2 linked regions of the Lepisosteus oculatus genome follow. The protein of the gene in region 1 binds, or shares a complex with, the protein of each later gene. Links are inferred from orthologs where the notes say so. Each region holds a gene or a part of one and is shown on either strand. Other genes may lie near its edges.

Region 1 (3,750 bases):
CCCCACCTGGATTCTAGCAGACATAAGAGAATAATAGTCTCTTTAATTAAAAATTACTTTCTCCTTGAGGGTAGAATCTATCTGCCATAATTGTCTGGGTGTATTTATTATTGCACGTTTTTCTAAAATATTGTAGGTACCAATTTTGATCTCAGGTAGTAGGGGAATTATATTACTATGGAATGTGGATTTTTTTTTTACCAAAGTCAGAACATCTGGTGGAATTGCATCTATAATTGTCATATAAATGTCATATTTTTAACAAAATCACAAAATTTATTAACTTCTCCATTAGCCTTCTCCAATAGATGCACGACTGACCAAATACCTTTATTTAACCAGGATTCATAAAATATGCTCTTTTTTTGCCAGATATATCTGTTGTTCCATATAACAGCATTATGAGGGGTGAAGTTATGGTTATATGATCATTTCCAATATAACAGTACTTGTTGATGAAAAACAAAAAGTCTGACTGGGAGCGTGTTTATGTCAAAGTCACATCTCAGCAAGAGGTCAAAGCCTCCTATTTTTCCCATTACTTTCCTAGGAATAGCAAACCTGAAGCTGTCTTTATTATTCATAAAAGAACGCAACCATTTTATCGTTAGGGTACCATTCATGATATCAATGTCTATCATTTGGGCACCACCCTCTTCAGATGATTTCAATCAATTTAATTTTTCTTGTATAATGTTTTTTTTCCAGATGTAGGGAAAAACAATTGACACTTTTAATTATTGGGGTGGAGAGGGAGATTGACGATGCTGGGAAAATGTTTACTGTTTATTTACTATAATAATACGCTCTAAAGCGTACACTCTACAAAGATGGCGATTCAACGAACTGCATAGTGACGTATATCCTTGTTTGAAATCTCGATGGTTCCTATCATTCTCTCTAGCCCACCTCCTACCTCACTGATTGGATAATTATACCCGCCAATAAAATGTAGTCTAAATCATTTTCCGGGTAAACATCCGGGGCTTTGTACAAAAGGTCACGCATTAACGCTTACGCTTTTGGCGTTGGTTGCTATCGGGTATTCTATTGCAAACACAGCACAAGAGCTACGGAAAAAACGTAAGTGTTCTTCGCGAATACTTTCGTAGTTTGGCATCGTGCGGTCTGCGTTAGTCTGCGCCATTGTGCCTGGTGGATGTTTAGCAGCGGAGAAAGCTGTGGACGGATTTGAATAAAATATCGTTTAAAGGAATGATCTAGAGATTGCATAGGGACGGATTTTACATATAAATAAAGTGCCGTGGACCTGAGGTAGGTAACACTGGTGATGAAAGAGCAGTTTTGCAGCGATTGGAAAAGTTGCAGGAGCTGCGCTTTATTTGGCCTAGACTGTGGCGCAAACTTGTGAGCTGGTCGTGTTGTCGTGTAATCCGATTTTATTTTTCGTGTAGTTTGTTTTTCCCCCGTGGGGGTCATAATAAAGACGAATGTCGGTATGTACGCAATATGATCGCCCATGGATTTTGTAATCCAGACAATCGGTGATCGAACTGTTTACAAATTACAGCGACTTCCTGGCGTAAGTGTTGCCACTGCCTCGGTTGATCTAGAATATGCTGTTTTGGCGGGGGAGCTCGATGTTTATTTCCCGTGAACACGTTTTTGCGCGTTTTAGAAGTTACACCGAGCCGCGTACACGCCACACGGAGAGCAGGAGCTAACATCGCTGTTGTTTGCCCGGTTTCAGGTTGGCGTCACCATGGCTGCTGCTGCTTTTCCGTACCGAGCAGCACCAGGGACGATTCCCACTCCGGGCCAGGTGCCGGACTACATGTCTGAAGAGAAGCTGCAGGAGAAAGGTGAGCGAGGGGGGACACTGGAGGAGACACCCTGTGTTAGTGTGGCTCGGAAAAGGGCCGTGTCTGAGTTGAGGGTTTGGATCAACTGCTTGAACGGCAGACGTAAACACTCTCGCTCGAACCTGACGCGTGAAAAGCCAGCGTGTGTCGGACAGTAGTTAGGGCGATCTTGCCAGCTCTCAAGCAGAGTGCGGTTTATCTGTGCTGTTTTTGTTGGGTTTGGAGACCTTGAGAGAAAACCGGGCTGCTGCTGTTGTAAGTGGTGGTGGTGGTGGTGGACCAGTGCTCTTAACTATAAGCCCAGCATGTCCAAGCCAGCCCTCCCCACTGTGGTGCCTGGAGATCTGTACTGCTCCATTGGCCAGGAGCCATATTGCCCTGCAACTCACAGCTGGCAGCCCACTGGACTGGGCAGTACCTGGATGGGAGACCTCCTGGGAAAGCTAAGGTCGCTGCTGGAAGAGGTGTTAATGGGGCCAGTAGGGGTGTGGTCCGTGTGAGTGCTAATGCCCCAGTATAGTGATGGGGACACTAAACTGTAAAAAGGCACTTTCTTTCGGGTGGGACTTAAAACTCTCTGTGGTCATTAAAAATCCCAGGGTATTTCTAGGAAAAAGTAGCAGTGTTACCCCAGTGTCCTGGCCAAATTTCCCATTGGCCTTTACCAATCATGGCCTCCTAATCCCATCTCTGAACTGGCTTCATCACTCTGGTCTCCTCCCCACTGAGAGCTGGTGTGTGACGAGCAGACTGGTGCACTATGGCTGCCGTCACATCATCCAGGTGGGGCTGCACACTGGTGGGGGTGGAGGGGATCCCCATTACCCCTTAAAGCGTTTTGAGTGTCGTGTCCAGTAAAGCTCTACTGCAGTGTAAGGAGTTATCAGTTATTCTTTAAGATCCCACGGCACTGTTGGTAACAGCAGTAATATTGCCCCTGGCGTCCCGCAAGGGGGTGCAAATGCAGCTGGTTGACAAGACACCCCGTTGTGTTCCCTGCCGCAGCTCGGAAATGGCAGCAGCTGCAGGCGAAGCGCTACGCGGAGAAGAGGAAGTTCGGCTTCGTGGACGCCCAGAAGGAGGACATGCCCCCCGAGCACGTCCGCAAGATCATCCGCGACCACGGCGACATGACCAACAGGAAGTTCCGCCATGACAAGAGAGTGTATCTGGGGTAAGGCAACACTCGGGGCTGCACATCTTTCCAGCAGTGCTGTCTTTGGGGCTCATAACCCTGATTCCCCTGAAGGTTACCCCCCTCCCCCCAATGATCTGTATGTCTTGAAGTGTGTACTCCTTTGGAATATAAACTGGAATATTGTGTTGGAATTGTAAAATTGCTATACTATGTGCACAAGTGTAATGAGGATCTTGAAAGGTTTTGAAGATCAGACATTTTCTGCATGGTGTGAAATCCTATTCATTTGTTAATCTTTTCTTACTTGTGGATTCAATTCCACATTGACCTCGGGTACCTTAGACAGGGGCCTGCTTGTGTAATGGAAGGTATAAAATGGCTTTGTCCCTGATGTCCCGTGTCTGTGCTGCCCAGCGCCCTGAAGTACATGCCCCATGCTGTCCTGAAGCTGCTGGAGAACATGCCCATGCCCTGGGAGCAGATCCGGGACGTGCCTGTGTTGTACCACATCACTGGGGCCATCTCCTTTGTCAACGAGATCCCCTGGGTCATCGAGCCCGTCTACATCGCACAGTGGGGGTGAGAGAGCTGTACAGCTTGCCAGCACTACGTGGATTTCCCTTAATGAGCACTAAATAGAGTTACTAGAATTATTTATGGGTTCTGGGTGTCATGCTGGTTTGGGGTTTTGTGAAGAAACAGTCCAGCATTTAGCATGGCCTGAGCAAGGTAGAATTTCATCTTGCGGATTTTGGAACTTAAATGTCCAAGGATTTATTTTGGGACGCT
Region 2 (3,750 bases), on another chromosome or scaffold:
GCTGATAAAAGATGCTGGACTGCAGCCATGCAGTTCCAGAGGCTGACGGTGCTGCTACTCCGAGACAGAGAGGGGCTACACGGTCGGGGGCGATATGAATTCTTTTATGTCTCCACAGCTGAGCTTCCAGTGCGCTTCCAATCAAAGCCTCCGACAGCAATCAGCAGTGTTATATTAACAGCAGCCAGCCCAACCTGAGACACCCAGACAGGCTGCACTACATGTACAATCAGCACATCCTGCAACAATGCGCACAACAGTTCTCACGAGAAGATATAAAACAAGAGTTTTCTAGATGAAAAGTATTTAGTGTGCAGGTTAAGTATAACACAACCTGCTACTCTCTCATGCTGCAGTGCATCTAGAAGCAGGATTAGATGCCACTGAGGAGTGTAAACACCCTAGTTTCTCACCTGGGTAGGGAGTATCGGGCCAACCACAGACGGGCCTCCTTCAGACTGCCTGGGCCCTCATGGTACCAGGTCTGCTGGAACTGAGAACATGAGAGACAGAGAGGGAGGTTATTCAGACTAAAGAGCAGAGAGTGAAAAGAATAAAAGAATCCTGTCCTGCCCAGCTGCTCCTGTACCTCGTCCTGCGACCGCTTGGATTTGTCGTCCTCCTTCTTGGACTTCTTCAGAGCGTCAGTTCCCACCACCGACAGGATGTTCCGCAGCCTGGAGGAGAGAGGAGGCTTCAGCTCAGCCGTGATCTCTGGGGCTACGCTCCCCGCAGACTGGCACCACCGTCACTGCGCCCCCCTCGGCTGACCTCTGCCCTGCTGCACCCACCTCTCCCGGCGCTCGGCGGGCCCCTCCCCGAACAGCGTGATGGGCTCCCCCAGGGCGCGCAGGCAGGCCTTCACCTCCGCGTCATCAGTGGAGACGTTGATCTGCCGAGCACGCTTCCTGCGCTCAAACTCTGCCAGGACTTCTGCCTGACGTTCATTCACCCGCTCCTCCAGCTCCATAGACTCGCCTGAACACAGACAGGGCACCGTTCAGCGCCGGGCACACAGGCGGGGCCCCGCTCGGGGCGCTGGCACACAGGCGGGGCCCCGCTCGGGGCGCTGGCACAGACAGCCGACAGCGTCAGTGACACGCGGTAGCTACAGGCCCCGGCCCAGTGGGGGCTGTGCTGTGTGCTGTAGGCCTGAACTGCGCACTGACCGCTGCAGATGTTGATGTTGCCGGCCTCGATGCCGGCCTTCAGGGCCTCCCTGCTGGCGCCGCGCGCATCGCCCCGGCCCAGGCGCTCGCGCTCGCGCTCCTCCAGGCTGCCATAGAAGATGCGCGACTTCTTCACCGCGGGCACGTCCTCCTCGTCCGACATCGTGCTCGAGCCACTGGACCGCTTACTGGACACAGGGAGAAGGAAGAGAGTCGAGAGCACGTCTCCCCAAACTCCTGGACAGCACCCTCCGCACGGCACACAGCGGGGTCCGGATCACAGCTACACAAACACACAGACGCACAAACACACTTTCACCCAGGACAGGCGAGAAGGGTCCCCAGGCCGGAGGTGTCCTCTGTGTGAACACTGAGAACAGGGCACTGGGAGTCAGCAGGTCTGTGGTCACCTGTAACATCGCTGTCGACCCAAGAGTCATGAAATACCTTTCACATGAGACTTATCAGGACAAAATACTGACCTGTAACATCACATCACATTTTCTGTCCACTATTAACAAATGAGAGGATGTAAAGCAGCAAAATGAACGGGTTTTGTGCTGTTATAGGTGTTTAGGGTGACAGTGGCCGCGTAAACTCACAGGTCCACAGGTCCTGTAGCAAGGGTGTGTAAGGACTATGCACAGCATGAGTCGATGCGTTTAATATAACGTTGTTTATTTTGAGTATAGTTGATTTGTACTGTTAATGTATTTTTTAAGTGCGTGTAAAACATAACTGCTTGGATTTAAATCAAGTTTCTAAGAAATCAGAAAGTCTTATAGTTAACTATGTTAAACGGCAGTGGGAGCCAGACTGCAAACAAGGCAGCAAAGGTTAATAACTGTCGGCCCAGAGACATCAAGACCGATCGCATTAGTTTTCACGTTCAGCCAAATTAAACGTTGAATTCCTTAAGAAATGTAATAAAAGTAAGTCTACTTTCCCATAGAATCACAAACAGGCAGCGCAACGAGGAAACAGGACGAATTCAAATATTTCTACGCAACTCTGAGGATATCACGAAGAGAGGAGAAGCTACTTGAAGAAAAGTCACATCATTACTGTGTCCAGGAGCGGTGTTTCCGAACAGCAGTGCGACAGATATCAGCGCTGAGACGGAGCAGCAGATCTGAGGACTTAAACACGTGTGCAACCCTGCAGACCTGACCCCAGCTCTGCTCCAGGAACCGTGGACCCCACACACACTGCGGAAACTGCCAATTAATCGCTTCTATTATGAAAATGTATTGAAGTTACAAATACCTGAACTCCTAGACGAAACCACCGCGATGCTGGCGAGAGGAAGCGAGTATTGCACGAGCGCTCTCCAGTGGCAGGCGGACAAACCGATACCGGAGCCGGAAATTGCGTCACTGGTTGTAGTAGCAACCCATTCCGGACGGACAGCGCGTTCTGTCGGCCGGGAGGCCTAATAGACTTAAGGAATGTATTTCAAAACATATTTTTCCAACTAAATGTAAAATTCACCCATCGGTTAGTCTCACATATATTACAGAAGATATATCTATCACTTGAGATGGTGCATTGTTCTGACACATCATGTGCCCCAATATGAACCGCTAACTCATGAAACAAGGGGCTCACTGTAGTCCTATCTGGGAGATGTAGTTCATTGTACAAAGGAAGCAATCTGGATTAAGTCTCATTAGACTACAAATCCCATCTACAGGGGGTGCGCTTCCTTTTGTGGTTCACCGTTCATTTCAGCGGGGTCTATATACAATATAGGAGGTATGTGGGGTTTAGGACTACTTTACGTCCATTATTTACTGTATGTTTGCAATAAGAAGAAGTCCCAATTCCTGTAAATGTGTTTATTCCGTGCCTGGCGGCCTGTGAAGGAACACTTGTAATTTGAAGTTTCGAAACTTGGTTGACTGTTGCTGTTGTCCTCCAGACCTGCTTCTGCAGCCGGGCCGCTGGCAGCCTCTTCACCGCACGAATGACGACGCCCGGCTGCCTTTCTCATTTTGTCTTTATTTTGTTTTCAGCAGCAACGCCGGTTCGTCCGGGACGAGTGAGCGCAGGCTGGTCGGTCCGCGGAGAGCGCCGTGCGAGAGCTAGGTACCTCGGTTTGAGCTGCCTCGTCAGATATTCCCACCTGTAGCAAAGTATTATCTCAGTTAATGAATGTTACGAACACTTGGTTTTATTATATTTAGAGGCTAAGATTAATGCAAGTGCTGCCCCTTATAGGCACCGATGTTTATACGTTAGCGAGGCAGTATGCAGGATAGGCCGGCTAATTACTGAGTTCTGAACAGCACAGTTTGATAACTGTTAAAATCCTACCCTAGGTATAATATATTCTGAAATTATTAAAGGATTAATAAAGTAGTTTTGAAAGCAATAAAGTGCATTAAAGTAATAAGATAAGATCACTTTATTGGCCATATACAATTTCTTGCATCAGGAATTTGTCTTTTTGCATACCACAGCTTGCTCTCCATGAGACACACAGACAGGGAGAGAAGCTGGGGGTCAGAGCGCAGGGTCAGCCATTTATACGGCGCCCCTGGAGCAGCTGGGGCCTTGCTCCAGGGGCCTTGCTCAGGGG

The links. Proteins that work in one complex are often made in the same cells at the same time.
Region 2: prpf8 (region 1) and prpf4 share a complex: the UniProt entries of both Homo sapiens proteins name them as parts of the U4/U6-U5 tri-snRNP complex. The link is inferred for Lepisosteus oculatus from reciprocal best matches to the Homo sapiens genes PRPF8 and PRPF4.

Annotation. Positions count from the first base shown.
Region 1 is NC_090721.1:8,662,585-8,666,334, forward strand, and holds the start of prpf8 (pre-mRNA-processing-splicing factor 8), read left to right. Parts: upstream 1-1,127; 5' UTR 1,128-1,275; intron 1,276-1,711; 5' UTR 1,712-1,723; coding exon 1,724-1,823; intron 1,824-2,828; coding exon 2,829-2,997; intron 2,998-3,375; coding exon 3,376-3,540; intron 3,541-3,750. UniProt on the Homo sapiens protein: Plays a role in pre-mRNA splicing as core component of precatalytic, catalytic and postcatalytic spliceosomal complexes, both of the predominant U2-type spliceosome and the minor U12-type spliceosome.
Region 2 is NC_090719.1:270,884-274,633, reverse strand, and holds the start of prpf4 (U4/U6 small nuclear ribonucleoprotein Prp4), read right to left. Parts: upstream 2,520-3,750; 5' UTR 2,436-2,519; intron 2,379-2,435; exon of another isoform or gene 2,235-2,378; intron 1,453-2,234; exon of another isoform or gene 1,358-1,452; 5' UTR 1,333-1,357; coding exon 1,170-1,332; intron 979-1,169; coding exon 792-978; intron 678-791; coding exon 590-677; intron 494-589; coding exon 414-493; intron 1-413. UniProt on the Homo sapiens protein: Plays a role in pre-mRNA splicing as component of the U4/U6-U5 tri-snRNP complex that is involved in spliceosome assembly, and as component of the precatalytic spliceosome (spliceosome B complex).